4 linked regions of the Neurospora crassa OR74A genome follow. The protein of the gene in region 2 interacts with the protein of the main gene of each other region in a pairwise test. Links are inferred from orthologs where the notes say so. Each region holds a gene or a part of one and is shown on either strand. Other genes may lie near its edges. The genes, in order: eat-2, NCU07438, NCU09572 and NCU04724.

What was found.
Region 1: the proteins of NCU07438 (region 2) and eat-2 interact in binary tests that used the Saccharomyces cerevisiae proteins (3 or more experiments, as listed by UniProt). The link is inferred for Neurospora crassa OR74A from reciprocal best matches to the Saccharomyces cerevisiae genes LAS17 and SLA2.
Region 3: the proteins of NCU07438 (region 2) and NCU09572 interact in binary tests that used the Saccharomyces cerevisiae proteins (3 or more experiments, as listed by UniProt). The link is inferred for Neurospora crassa OR74A from reciprocal best matches to the Saccharomyces cerevisiae genes LAS17 and ARC18.
Region 4: the proteins of NCU07438 (region 2) and NCU04724 interact in binary tests that used the Saccharomyces cerevisiae proteins (3 or more experiments, as listed by UniProt). The link is inferred for Neurospora crassa OR74A from reciprocal best matches to the Saccharomyces cerevisiae genes LAS17 and LSB5.

The regions. Positions count from the first base shown.
Region 1 is NC_026501.1:1,867,984-1,870,100, forward strand, and holds the end of eat-2 (cytoskeleton assembly control protein Sla2), read right to left. Parts: coding exon 1,309-2,117; intron 1,207-1,308; coding exon 1,114-1,206; 3' UTR 569-1,113; downstream 1-568. UniProt on the Saccharomyces cerevisiae protein: Required for cellular morphogenesis and polarization of the cortical cytoskeleton. It might act in concert with proteins such as CDC42 and CDC43 to limit the region of cortical patch formation to the cortex of the bud.
Region 2 is NC_026501.1:624,880-629,236, forward strand, and holds the start of NCU07438 (WASP-like protein las17p), read left to right. Parts: upstream 1-1,472; 5' UTR 1,473-1,694; intron 1,695-1,873; 5' UTR 1,874-2,273; coding exon 2,274-2,483; intron 2,484-2,539; coding exon 2,540-4,208; intron 4,209-4,285; coding exon 4,286-4,317; 3' UTR 4,318-4,357. Other genes in the region: NCU07439 (hypothetical protein), read left to right, coding at 493-564, 647-808.
Region 3 is NC_026507.1:963,202-966,621, reverse strand, and holds NCU09572 (ARP2/3 complex 21 kDa subunit), read right to left. Parts: upstream 2,109-3,420; 5' UTR 1,855-2,108; coding exon 1,849-1,854; intron 1,608-1,848; coding exon 1,215-1,607; intron 1,090-1,214; coding exon 910-1,089; 3' UTR 575-909; downstream 1-574. Other genes in the region: NCU09571 (tRNA (adenine-N(1)-)-methyltransferase non-catalytic subunit trm6), read left to right, coding at 1-309. UniProt on the Saccharomyces cerevisiae protein: Functions as a component of the Arp2/3 complex which is involved in regulation of actin polymerization and together with an activating nucleation-promoting factor (NPF) mediates the formation of branched actin networks.
Region 4 is NC_026506.1:549,973-554,011, forward strand, and holds NCU04724 (VHS domain-containing protein), read left to right. Parts: upstream 1-1,203; 5' UTR 1,204-1,871; coding exon 1,872-1,886; intron 1,887-1,948; coding exon 1,949-2,341; intron 2,342-2,399; coding exon 2,400-2,852; intron 2,853-2,904; coding exon 2,905-3,061; intron 3,062-3,114; coding exon 3,115-3,431; 3' UTR 3,432-3,787; downstream 3,788-4,039. Other genes in the region: NCU04723 (hypothetical protein), read right to left, coding at 1-474, 535-572; NCU04725 (N-acetylglucosamine-6-phosphate deacetylase), read right to left, coding at 3,898-4,039. UniProt on the Saccharomyces cerevisiae protein: Essential for the organization of the actin cytoskeleton, fluid phase endocytosis and vesicle trafficking, together with YSC84.

The sequences.
Region 1 (2,117 bases), about 1.2 Mb from region 2:
CCATACATCTCTTCTTATTGTACAGCTCATGGACATCACAACCATCTGCCCGCAGCAAACACCAGCGGATCCAATACTTGGCACTGGTACATCCAATTACCCGTCATCCAAGCTATTGGTTGGTACGACAACGACGACTCCGCAGGAGCACTTTAATAGCATAACAACGTGAACGCCAACCGACCGGAGAGGGAAGCAGGAGAGTGTGATGGTTCGACTTTAGCTTGGCCTGCCAGAATGGGAAGAACTAGGAAATGCAAGTCAAGAGGGAGACAGAGACCAGACTTTCAAGCTGACGTGGGGAACGAAAAGAAAAAGAGAAAACAGCATAATGGACCAGGCGATAGGAAGGAAACGGAACTTGAACTCCCTCCACCAGAGATTTTCTCGTTCTGAATCTTGCTGCACGAACGAAAGCAGCCACCGATGACGAGACAACGAACGGGCTGCGACAAAAAAGCGAAGAGAGGGAGTGAAATGGGCCGTATAAGCAGACGTAGGGAAATTGGACAGCCGAGGGCTGAAGGACTGACGTGACAGGGGAAGGGGAAGAGGAGGCGGAAAAGGGGTGATATTCAGCAGCACAAAGCACGAAATTTGGTCGCCTACTCACTCTTGACGTATCTGGTAAACTTTCTGGCAGACCGACCGATCGAGCGAGCAGCGAGCAGCGAACGCGAAAATCGAAACCACAAAAAAAGGATGTACATCGCCATAAAAGAAACACGACGGATGCCAGCAGTATGACAGCGGGAGTGGCGGTTTGCCTGTGTTACCAAACACCCGCGCGAAGAGCGAACGGAACATATCCGAGGCCGAAGTTACGACGGCCAATTGACGACTTCAGTGGATGAAAAAGAACAAGGTGGATGAAACTGAGTTTAACACTAACACCTGATGACTCCCAAAGGAATTCGAGCTAGGTACAGAGGGGGTAGTTGAAATATAAAACATCTGATGAAGATTTTGGAAGACGCTGCGGGACGAAAACAGAATGAGGGAGGGGATCTGGTCGGATGCATGTGCCCACGCTGCGCATTGAAGCGTAAAGCCAGCGAGATGAATGAAGCCACCGAGTATACTACCTCAACAACCCCATGTGTTGCGGGACAATCAGTCCTCATCCTGTTGGTACGAAATCTTGCGCATCTCGCCAAGTCTGTGGCGAGCAGCATTCAATGCGTTTTCGAGTTGAAGGATTTCGACCTGTGATGGGGAGAGAATGAATTGGTCAGCAATGAACCATAATAGGCAAGACCAAGGGTACCGGAAATGAAAGAGGAAGGAAATCTCGAAGGAATCACGTACCTGTTGCTCCATCTCGCGCACCTTGAACTCGTGCGACCCAAGCTTGCTGTAGTCCACTTGCTCATCCTCGGCACTGCGGTCCTTGATCATGCTCTGGACTTGTCTGACGAGCGCACGGCAGGCGGCACCGACAGCCTTGCTGGCCTCCTCCAGGCTCTCCTGGTTCTTGCTCATGAAGCCGGCCTTCACACGGCTGGCAGCCACGAGCTGGGCGGTGGAGGCCGCAACATTATTAGATGCAACGATGAGCTGCTCAGGGCTGTTGCGGTTGGAAAGAACACCGTCAGCAGTCTCGATGAGAGTGCTGGTAGAGTTGGCAACAGCCTTGGCGGCGGAAATAAGACCCTCGGTCCATCTGTTGTTCTTCTTGTAAAAGGCGGTGCGCGAAGACGAGCCACGACCAGCTTGCACAATCTCCTGCTGTGTAGCGGTGGCAGCCTTGATGAGCTGCGCGATAGCGGTGGTAATGGCCATGGCGGCATCGAGGATTGAGTCGTGGACCTTGAGTTCGTAGGTAGTATATCCATCGCGAGGTTTGTTCTTGAGCTTCTGCAAACGGGCAACGGCAGCAGCAATGGCATCGGCTGCCCTGCTGAGTTCTTGATCGACGATGTCGCCAAGGTCACCCTTGTTAGCGAGCTGGCCAAAGCCAGGAGCGAAGGTCTCGACAAGCTTGTTCAGCTTTTGCAGGTTGATCTGGACATCGTTATTGCTGTTGATGACAACGTCGGTCTTCTGAAGTGGATCCATGCCCTCAAGGCGGAAGCTCAACAGACCACGGAAGAACTTGACTGTCGAATGGGCAGATG
Region 2 (4,357 bases):
AAAGCTGGGATGATAGTAGCGCCCGGGACGGTATCACGGTATCATGTGTGTTGTATGTATGTACTAATGGCGGTCCCTGAGTGGTTCCCTCCAGTCGGAGTCAAGATCCAATGCTCCGTCTTGTCGGTTTGATGCGCTGTTCGTGGGAGGTTTTAGCAGCTGTCATTCAGTGTGCCTGCCGCCGCATACCTACACTAGTAAACGACGCGTGACCACCCCCAGGCGACGTCATTGTCTTACACCCTCTCTTTTAGGCCCCTTGTACGTGGTACGACGACTACAGGTTTCTTCCTATTTATTCCCTTTTGCTCATCCATCGTTTTCTTTTATAAAAGAGACCCTTCTCGACCTTCAAAACCTTCCACTTCTACACCTTACCCATCTTCCTGCAAGACGATATCGAAAAAGTTGATCAAGACTCCTCTCAGTTGTCTCACTACGACCCACTCCTCACGAACCATCAAGACAAGTCATAACATCAAGACCATCACAATGGCCGGCGGCGACGATCTCAGCAAGAAGGAAGTCAACATTCTTCCCCACGACACCCAGAAGGACGAGCAAGTACGTTACCATTTCCTCCCTAGTCTGGTGCCTTGTGTGAATCACAGAAAACAGAAAACTGACTCTTTGGCCAAACAAATAGAAGAACCCCAACAACCCCCTCAACAAGCTCGCTGATAGTGCCAAGGCCACGTTCGAGCAGGCGTCAAAGGCCATGCCCGGTCCCGCCATCTCGCAGAACATCGGCGGCGAGGAGGGCACCAAGGAGGAGCGCAGGGCCAAGGCCGAGACGCTCAACAAGTAAAGATATGGACTCGGACAAACAGGGGAATGGATGGAATGATTGCAATGACTGAATGATACACACACATACACATAACATAATTGAACTGTTTTGACAATTACTCTGATGGATCAGTCCTGTTGGAGCCTAAAGTGACTTTGGTGGTGGAATTGCGCCCAAATGAGAGGGGTCTGGTCCTCGAAAGTTGTCTCAAATGGGAGCAATGTTAGCATGTGAAGGTAGGTAGGTACTTTCATGTCATCCCATGTTCGTACATACCTACACTACTTTCATCCTATATCAACCTGAGCCATATAACCTCCAAATGCACATGGAAGTTGTTGTCATTGCCAGTTTCAACATGTCCCTCAAACACCCAGCTCTCGGAGGAACCGTCTCGTTGGACATCCATCATCACGGCGGGCAAGCGAAAGGTCGGCTGTGCAAGCGGCGGGCGGGAATAGTGGAGGGGTTCAGTTGAGGGATAGGTACCCACTGTTAGTGGACACGGACAATTGACGCCCTATCCACCCCCGGCACAATGTCATGACGCTATCTGGTTCATGTCCACAAGTTGGTCGCTTCCCGTCGGAAATTGGTCATTGTGGCTTGCTGGGGTTTCGTTGCCATCCTGATTCCATTCAGTCAAAGCCAAACAGCCCGGTCGTTGCCGCCGCCGTAGTGATGCAACTCCCAATCCCCGTACATAGTGTAGTTAAGTAGTGTACACTCACTGCATGCCTAAGGAACCTCTTGCCAGGTACACCCGCAATTCAACTTCCTTCTTGTCTACCTTGCAATGGGACTTGCTCCTCTCTCTGTAGTCTGTACAGCTTTAATACATTGAATTTTCACGGCAGATTATAACTAAGCTTGCCAACTGAAGGCTGCTGGATCATTGTCCGAGGTACGTTATTCCCAGCCTGCCGCCGTCTCTTCTACTCAGTATCTGCTTTTGCTCCTTTCAGTCATTGGACATCCGGGCGGCCGAGTCTTCCTTATTCCTCCCACCAACCACCAAACATCCGTGCCTCCAATACCCAGACCTACCTCTAGCTAACCGGCAACTTCCATTGTCTCTTCTAGGCTTCCGTCAACTGCTTTTATTCCTACGCGGCAAGGCCACGGAAGCGCGGAGCTTTACTTTATCTTGTACCGACAAGATACTTGGCCGTCGATAACAAGCGCCAACGACCCGAAAAGCATTAATACGACATCCCACTTCCGACTTGCTACCTCACCCTTCGGTCGACGTTGCCCCCCTCCCCTCGCCGACCGACCCGCCGACCGGATCAAGGCACGACGACTCAGCTTCATAACAGTACCTCTCGGCGCTGCGCCCGCCGGCCGAGTCCTTCTACCGAATTTCCGCATAACGACTCCCAATCTATCCATGCTTTGCTCCCCCTGGACGATCTAAAGGGGACGACAGGCCGCAACCTACCTCAAGCCACTTCCACGCTTCCACCCCCCATATATATTCACGATGCCGTCCATCCTCAGCGACGACGACAAGGAAACGGTCAAGCGCTGCGTGCCCAAGCAGACCAACAAGATCCACGCCGTCGCCGTCGCCAGGCTCTATGTAGCCTACCCCAACCCGTCCAGATGGACCTATACCGGCCTCCAGGGTGCCGTCGTTCTGGCAAATGATCTCGTGGGCAACACATATTGGATCAAGATGGTTGATATCTCGGTAAGTGTGAAAATGACGATTGCGTGGCTGGCCACCATTTGGCTGACATCGGACAGCCCGGAAACAGGGGAGTGATATGGGACCAGGAGATCTTCGACACTTGGAACTACAACCAGGACCGTGTCTTCTTCCATACCTTCGAGCTTGAGGAATGCCTGGCTGGCTTGTCCTTCGTGGACGAGAAGGAAGCCAAGCAGTTCCTCAAGAAGATGAACGACAGGGAAAAGAACGCCAGCAAGGCTACCAGCAAGACACCTTTCGGAGGCGCATCCCAGGCACACCACCACAAGCACCACGGTCTTTTCGGCGGTCTGTTTGGAGGACATAAGCACGCGTCTCCGACAGCCACCCCGCCCGAGTCGCCACGTGCCGCTGCACCGGCAGGCCGTATGAGAGCTGGAAGCACTAATGGAATAAACGGATACAAGCCTCCTTCCGAGTTTGCGACCCTGGATGCTTTCGATCCCCTGTGGAGGGAACACTTCGGTGACGACCTCAAGGCCCAAGGCCTCGACGACGACTTCATCCGCGAAAACCAGGACTTTATCATTGAGTTCTTGAAACAGGAGCAAGCGAAGCAGGGTATACACACGAGCACTCCTCCGCCGCCGCCGCCGCCGCCATCCGCTCCTCCTAATGGTCCCGCAATGAGAGCTCCCCCACCACCTCCTCCTGCTGCTGCTCCGCGCAGTGTCTCCGAGTCGATAACTCCATCGACCTCTAGGAGAGGGCCAGTACCCCCGCCTCCCCCTCCAGCAAGGAGATCCGGCAAGCTCGACACGGAAAACCACCAGGAACCGGCCCCTCCGCCGAGATTTGCTGTTCCTCCTCCCATCGCCGATGCTGGCAAGTTTGCCCACTCTGATCCCCCGCGACATACGCCCTCTGCGCCTGGACCTCCACCACCTCCCCGGCCGCCGAAGACGCCACTCGAAGATCAGGACCCGAGCCAGAGGTTCAGCGTTCCTCCGCCATTCACAGGCCAACGAAGTGTACCCCCGCCGCCTCCCAGCCGTAGCTCTGTTCCTCCGCCACCGCCCCCGAGAAATTCAGCTGCGCAACCTCCTCTGCCTCCCAAGGCACCGGGACCAGCACCTCCCCTCCCGCCTGCGAGCTCACGGCCGCCCCCCATGTTGCCAACTAGAAGCCCGGCACCACCGCAGGCACCGCCTCTCCCGACCTCGAACGCGCCACCTCCGCCGCCTTTACCGGCCACCCAGGCGCCTCCACCACCTCCCCTTCCCGCAACCAGCGCGCCTCCTCCGCCACCACCGGCACCGCCAGCACCTCCGGCGCCCCCTCTACCCGCAGCACATGCTCCCCCGCCGCCGCCTCCCATGCCACCCATGCCCGCACCATCAGGCGGCGCACCGCCTCCGCCTCCGCCTCCTCCACCGGGTGGTATGGGTGGTGTCCCTCCCCCTCCTCCTCCCCCTCCTCCAGGTGGTATGCCTCCACCGCCCGCCCCTGCCTTGCCACCTGTTGACGGCAGTCGTTCGGCCGTGTTGGACGGCATCAAGACCGCGGGAGGTATCAGGGCGTTGAAGAAGGTAGACAGAAGCCAGATTCGCGATCGTTCCGGTGCTGCTGTTCCTGGTGGCTCCGATAGTGGGCCCGCAAGCAGTGGATTGCCGCCCGCTGGAGCTGCGCCGGGTGGCGGTGGTGGAATGGCGGATGCGTTGGCGTTGGCGTTGCAGAAGAGAAAGGAGAAGGTTAGCAAGAGTGGTAAGTATCTGGATTATCCCTGGCTTGTGAAGTGTGAGAGCATGTCGAGAATGATGCTAACACTGGTGGAAAAACAGATGATGAAGATGATGGTGATGATTGGGACTAAGTGCCCGATACCAACAATGACACGGTGAAGAGCCACCGGA
Region 3 (3,420 bases), on a different chromosome or scaffold from region 2:
GCGTGGAACAGCGGACACGTGGCGGAGATCCAGGGCAAGACGGCCGAAGAGCTGGAAAAGTGGGAGGGAAGCGAGCAGTTCCCTCTCAACCCCACGCTGTTACTGGGCACAAGCATCCAGACTAGCAGGGCGAGGAGGTGGCAGGTGTTGCCGGGCAGGACGCATCCGTTGATGACGGAGCGCGGTGGTGCGGATGGATATATCTTTACTGGATGGAGAGCGAAGCCAGCGGAGGGCAAGATTGCGGCCAAGGGCAAATTTAAGAGGAGAAAGGTGGAGGAGAGCGTTTCGACGCCGGCTTCGGCATGAGTGGATTGGTCGGAAAGAGTTATTTATGGGAGTTCAAGGATGCCACTTCTCTCCCCGTGCATCGGAAGATCTCACACAGAGGTTTCCACGGAAGCAATGAGGTCGAGGGAAAGTCAGAAAGGAAAAGACAGTTAGAGCGTTTCGAGGCTCGCTTACAGTAGGTGGACTCGACCAGCCGAGGAGGAGTGGAGGCGACCATGGGTTTAAATGATTATGCTTTGTCCATGAAAGGCGGGCAAACAATGAGCAGGAGTCTGATAGTGGTAGCAGTTAGGAGAACCAGCATGACCGATATGCATAGATCTCGTTTGCTCTTAGATACCATTTGCACGAAATAGAGCTGCAGTAATTCTACTAATCGAACGTCAACTGGAGATATAACCCATGTCGCTCATGATCGGGTTTCAAGTGTATGTGTACTCGATCTATGCCTGATCGAACCGGACCACGCAAAAACAACAACAACTGAAAGTCTTGCTCGCTCGCCCCAACACACCCTCACACTCTAGGAAACTTGAAATATTATTTGTGTAGAGTACGTATTATACTTTGGCGCTAAACGATTCCATGCAACGCCATCTGAACAGGGAAGGCATCGCATCAGAGTCCCTTGCCCATGAACTTCCTCTTGGTAAAGCTCAACCACCACTTGCTCGGCTTGTCCTCGGTCTCGTCGTCGTACACGCGCGCCAATAACCTCTGCGCCAGTTCCTGCCGGACCTGCGACAGGTACTGACGGAGGACTTCTGCGTCTTGACGGTCGCGGGGGGGTTCATACATCTGTTTTGCGTCAAACTTATTAGCTGCCATCCATTTTCTTGTTCACCGCCGCGGGCCACATCTACTCCCATCACATTCACCGTATTCTATCTCCGCCCTAAATCCTTTACGCCAAAAAAACTCACCTGATTCAAAGGCCACCCAGGATCGCCCGGCAACGCAAAGTTCACATCCAGCGCCGCATTGTTCACTTCCTTCGTCGCCTCCCTAACGCCATAGTGCGGCTTGATGCGGCCCAGACAGTCGCTGATGTACCAGATGCCGTAGACCAGCAGGCGGTCGGCGGGGCCCTGGATCTCAAAGTTGCGGAAAAAGGTGTTGGCGCGGAAGAGAGCTAGCGTCTCGTCCAGAATGTCGTATGACTCCGAGTCCGGGTCGGGCGACTCGTTGGCGGCGAGCGGAGGGTCCGGGAAGGGGAGAGGGTAGATCGGCCCGCGGATCTTGGTGCGAAGCGGGAAGAGAGGGAAGTTGCCGATTAGGCGGGGGGAGGGGTCGGCGTTGAAGACGGAGTTGTAGGCCTAGAGAGTGGCGTCGTTAGTTGAGAGATTGAGAATGGGAATTTGTGTGTGAGGTGAGGCGAGAGGCGAAGAAATGCGATTGGGCGCAAAGCGGTTCGTGGTGTTGTGGGTGGTGGTGATGCGATCATGGACGAAGCTTTGTCTGACGATTAAGGGGTAGCTGGCTGGCTGGCTGGTATAGCTTGGGGAAGCTATACGCATAGCGGCTGGGTGTTGGGAGCTTGCGAATGGGTGCGCTTACCGGCATTGTGACGGTTGGTGTCAAGCTCCCTCTATGAAGCTATTACCAGATTAAGCAAATGGTGTTCAAGTTGGAAGTTAGGTAAATCTGGGATGTCGTGTTGACTTGACCGCGTCCGGGTTCTATGGCGCAGCCTTGCGGGGTGATGGGGTCAATTGGACTTGGGCTGGCCTTCCTGGACCTGCAGCGTGCCAGCGATGGGCGATGGCGGCTTCTCCTGCGCTGACGTCGAGCTGGCGGTGACGACCGCTGCTTGCACCGTGCCGCTGTGACGGACTCTGTGACAGTAGAGCTGGACTTGGTCTGTGCGTTACCTTTCTATTTGAATTTGTGGCTCAGCAGTGGCTGTGTCCGGACTCCGGATGAGGCCTGGTACAGTCAATGAAGCACTCCCGGTTCCCATCACGTGTAGAGTTACCGGAGCCGGCCTCGTCATCGGACAGGCAGCAGCTCGCTTGACTCCGATAAAGTGGATCTTTGCGGCCTGAAGTGGAGCCACCTAGTCCCGGGGGAATCGGAAGGTCTTGCACAATGCATCATCTGAAGGAGGAGAGCGAATGTGAACAAGTCAAAATGCCACTCCATTGGTATACAGAGGAAGATTCAGTTACACAAAGACTCTTCACGTGTCATGTAGTCAGCCACCGCGTTCGACGTGAGCGCCCGCTTTCCATGCAACTTAAGCTGCTGTGTCTCGGAATCCAGACAAAGAGCAGGACTCCATGCTCAAGATGGTGTTCCAAGGATCCATCCCATCATTACTCATTATGGCGGAATTTTTCAAGGAAGAAGATTGACCGAGGTTCACGCCGTGGTCGAGTCCAACAACCTGGAAGAGAGCCAACACCTGAATGTTGGTTGGATAGGACGAAGTTCAACACCGTGAACGCCGCGCTGCGCCCACCGCTGCCTGTTTGAACAACAGGGGGGCCCGTCGTCAAGGAGAGAGGAGAAGACTCAGAAAGCAGAAACATTGAAGAAACAAGAGGGGATGCCAAGACAATAAGTCACGGGAGCTCGTGTGCTAGCGCGTCGTAGATGATGAAATCAGCCAGCAGTCCAGACTTGGCTGGCTGTTGTTGGCGCAATTGTTCATCCGACGCAAATCCGGCCGGGGACTGCCACACACCCGACAGGCACACCACCAGTCGAGAGCGCTACTACGCTGCTTAGAGGTACTGTGATAGTAGTGTACGCACCAACGCGGAATCAAAAGCGCCGTCGTGCGCCGTCCACTGAGAAAGGGTGATGGAGGGGTATTTGGGGTTCTCCAGTCCCATCACATCACTCACTGCGTCACGGTTCTCTCCTCTACCTACAACTGCCTTCTTCAATCGTTCATTAAAACCAGCCCTCCGCTTCTTCACGCCCAAAGACAAACACAAGAACCCGGACAAACCCCTCCCACTTTTTTGAACTAGGAGGCAAACTTTGATCCTAGTGCTTTTTCCCCCCTCTTTACGGTGACTCAGTCGTTACCAGCGCGACTTGTTTTGGATCGCTTTTCTCCATTCCTCAAACCAAAACAAAACATCATTCCAAGCACCATTCGTTTTCAGGTGAGTTGCTTGC
Region 4 (4,039 bases), on a different chromosome or scaffold from region 2:
TAGGTTGTCGGATTGCCACCTGTGAGCGAGTCAAAGATCATGGCTCTGCTAAAAAAGGAAGCATCCGTTTCTTCACAGTCTTCTCTGCCAGCCCGTGGGTTATTGGCACAAAGCTCTAAGAGCTCGGATTTGGAGTATGGGGGCGAATAGTAGCCATCCTGGTCGGAGGTCATCGTGTCCACAAGCATATGCTCTTGGGTATCGCCTTCTTCCCATGACGAATATCCAACCGCGACATTGTCGTCGTAATCGTAACCATGATACTCTGAGAAGGTTTCGAAAGATGGGAATACATATCCCCTTCTCTTGCCCTTTGGGCAGTCCCCATCAGTGTTTCGGCGTTTCAGGGAAGCTGAAGTAGCCGGATGGTAAAGCTCCGATGGAAGTGCTCCAGGCCCGTCCACGCCGTTGTTGACCGGTGCGGCATCATTGGCCGGAAGGGTTGTGGTAGTTGAGAAGGAGGACACATCACAACTGATAATAAGAACAAGTTAGCATTGCAGGCCAAAACATGAAGCGGGAGAACGGGCTTACGGAGCAGCGGAAGTTGCCGCACTGGAAGGGTCCATCATATTCAGGACCACACTCGGGTCATCTGTGTCTGTGACTGACTGGTCTTGGAGGGACAATGTCCGATTGGGTACAAAAAATCAAGACTAACGATACTGATGGAAGTATAGGCGCGTCACGGTATTGTCGAGGTCGAAGCCATTGGGATCCGATTGGCCTTTGGAAATTGAGACCGGGTGGTGGGAACCGGAAACTGCCTCTGGTGTTGACACGACTGGACTGAAAAGGACATGATGGTAGGAGAGGCCGGACGAGAGTCGAAGACGGAGGACTTGCGAAGACTGGACAACGAAGTGGAAATGTTTGAAATTTTCTCACTGTCCTTGAAAGCTGGCAAGTGCGAGTCGTCGAGGCGTTGATGCCCGCCTGATGATGATGATGGATGTACTTGTATACCTCTATGTATAAGTCGTACTTTCCTATTCTGGACGTCTTCAGCGGGCCCTTGAGGGCAGCTGGTGGGCGGGCGGGCAGCCGGACGGGAGTGAGCCAGGCAGGGAGGGTGACGGCGCCAAGTAATCTGGCCCCGCTTCGTAGCGAACCGAAGCCCCACCATTCGGCACCGGAGCCGAGATTTGTAGGGAGCTTGAGGCCTGAAAGCTAAACGCCAAGGACCGGCGACCGGGGCATTGTCAAGGAAGCATGGCTCCCTCTTTTTCGCTCCTTTATTGAAGGCGCATTGGGTGAGGTTGCTCACGAAAGAGCAATGTTCTGTTGGTGACGATGCGGTGATTTTGATTTTACTCATTTGTTTGAAGGGTTGTCGAAAGAAACACTGGGCGCGACGGAATCCGGTTTCACGGCGTCACACGAAATTCAAGCTCCCTCGTATCGATACCCCGCCATTGTTCGCTCCTGCGCCCGCCATCAGCCGCCCCTCGTCAAAGCTTCAGTCAGAGCATACACAGCATCACATCACTGCTGCGCAGGCACGACTGCTGCTTGCTGCCGTTTACCTTGACGCGCTTTCCTCGACAGATTGCGCTTCTTCTTAACGACAACGAAGAGCTTCCACCGACACTTTCCATCAATAAGTCGTACTAGGGACTTTTCCTGGTCAGGCCATTGTTAGCGACCGACTGCGATTGCGACTGCGACTGCGACTGCGACTGCGGCCATCTGACGATAACTGAACAACTTACCCAAAGTCGACGCGACTGTTTGGCTTGGCTCCCTTTCTTCAACCATACCATCCACCACCACTGCACAGCTTTCTCGACTTCTATCCCCGAGCTTTATTCTTTGCTATCTTCTACGACGAAGCAACCACGGCAATCAGCTTAGCGCTACTCCACGATACAATGTTCTCTTCCTCGGTAAACGACCAAAGGTTCCCTCAATAGCTGCGTCTCGTACATTCGCTAACAGCCCAGAACAGAAGCCCTACACGGCTGTTACGGTCGACATCGAACGTTTGACGAGTGAGACATTCGCCGAAGACGATCTCAGCGGCATCCCCGAGCTTATCGAAGCTATCAACCTCCAGGCTTCGGGCCCAACCGAGGCTGCCCGTGCCATTCGCAAGAAACTCAAATATGGAAACCTGCACCGCCAGCTCCGAGCCTTGACCATCCTCGATGCCCTGATTCAAAATGGGAATCCCCGCTTCCAGCGCTCCTTTGCGGATGAACCCCTTCTTGAGCGCTTGCGCTTCTGTGGCACCGCCGAGCTGTCGGACCCCTTGGTGAAGAAGAAGTGCTCCGAATTGTTTCGCAACTGGACTGTCTACAACCGCACTCACGGCATGGAGCGCGTCGCGAACCTCTACAGAGTAAGCTCCCTTACAGTCTACACTTTGACGTCTACCTGTCACGCTCACACCACTCCAGGAACTTCCCCGTCGCAAGCAAGTCGTTACCCAAGAAAAGTCCAAGGTACTTAAGGAGACCGAGAACCCTTTTGGCGAAGACGAGGAGGAAGAACGCCAGCCATCAGCAAGCACCTCAACTGCCCAGGCCAACACATCAACCACACACCCATCTTCCTCATCATCGCATAGGCCGACAGTGTCCAGTTCCAGTGGCCATTCTCACTCCTTCAGTCGATCCGGCAAGGACAAGTCAAAGAAGAGCAGCAGCAAATCCAAGAAGCACAAGCCATTTAACCTCGAAGCCGAAAAGGATCAGATGACCAGGACTATCGCCGAGGCGTCCATTGCCTCCACGAACCTGATGAACACTTTGCAATCCATCAATCGAGAGAAGGAGCGCATTTCGGAGAACTCAACTGCAGTGGAGCGTTTCGAAAAGTGCAAAATGCTTAGAAGGAACATCTTGAGATATGTACGTGACAGTGTCTCTTGACCATAGCCGAACGGTCTGCTAACAGACGCAGATTCAACACGTCGAATCTGAACAATGGCTAGGAGGCCTTCTACATGCCAACGATGAACTCGTCCAAGCGCTCATGACTTTTGAGCAGCTGGACCGCTCTATTGACGCGGACAGCGACTCGGATGATGATCTGGCTGAGCAAGCACATCTTTATCGGAGTATGTTCCCCTCTCCTTTTTGTTGTTCTCCCTCCCCTGCTAACAATTTCCAGTGGCAACTGAAAAAGCTGCCAAAGCCAAAGAATCCGGTGGTAGCGTACCCGGCAGTCCCCGCGCCCCCGTTGCGGGCATGGCTGGGCTCAGCATCACCAACACCCCTGCGAGCCCACCACCAATGCCTCCTCGTCCTGCGCCACCTCCCCGACCGTCTGCGGCTTCGAAACCCTCAATGTTGAAGCCGCCTACAAGAAGGGTGGAACCGTCTGATGACGAGGATAGTGAGGTGGATGAGGACGAGAACGATCCGTTTGCTGACCGGAATGCTGTCTCGACCCCTAAGGTGGAGAGTGACGAGCCCAAGTGGTCGTAGGCTGGGTGGACGTGGATAGCATGGCGGGGATGAAGTGATGATAATACGACATGGATACGAATTGAGTTGCTACTTGCTTACTGGATAGCCATTTGCCTGTCTAGGAAATATTTTTAGCGACAGCGAGGGACGATAGTAATAGTACGGAGGAGTAGATCGAGCAGGAAAGCGAAACACTTCGCAGCATTATCCTCAGTTGTTTTACCAAGTTTAGCGGTTCAGGGGAGAGGAATGAGTTATACCTTTTTGAGTTCTGGATGGCCAGTTATGAGTGGAGAGCGAGTGGTGTTTTCTTTTCAAGTCATGCCTTCGTGGACGGGAACCATCATTGCCATTCATCGTGCATAGCCAAATGGCGAGGCAACAGACATTCAGCACTCTACTTTCTGCTCCCTCCCTTGCAAAGAACCAAAGCTACATGACCAAGAAAGCATTCAACATCTATCAAGCCCCAACTCCCTCCCCATTATGATTTCGAACTCACCAAAGCAGTCCCATCCCTAACAAACACCCTCTCCCCAAATTTCCAAACCTCCTCAACAACCAACTGCTTTCTGCTTATCTTCCCGCTTCCATCCAGCAGATCCTCAACCTCAACTTCCACTTCC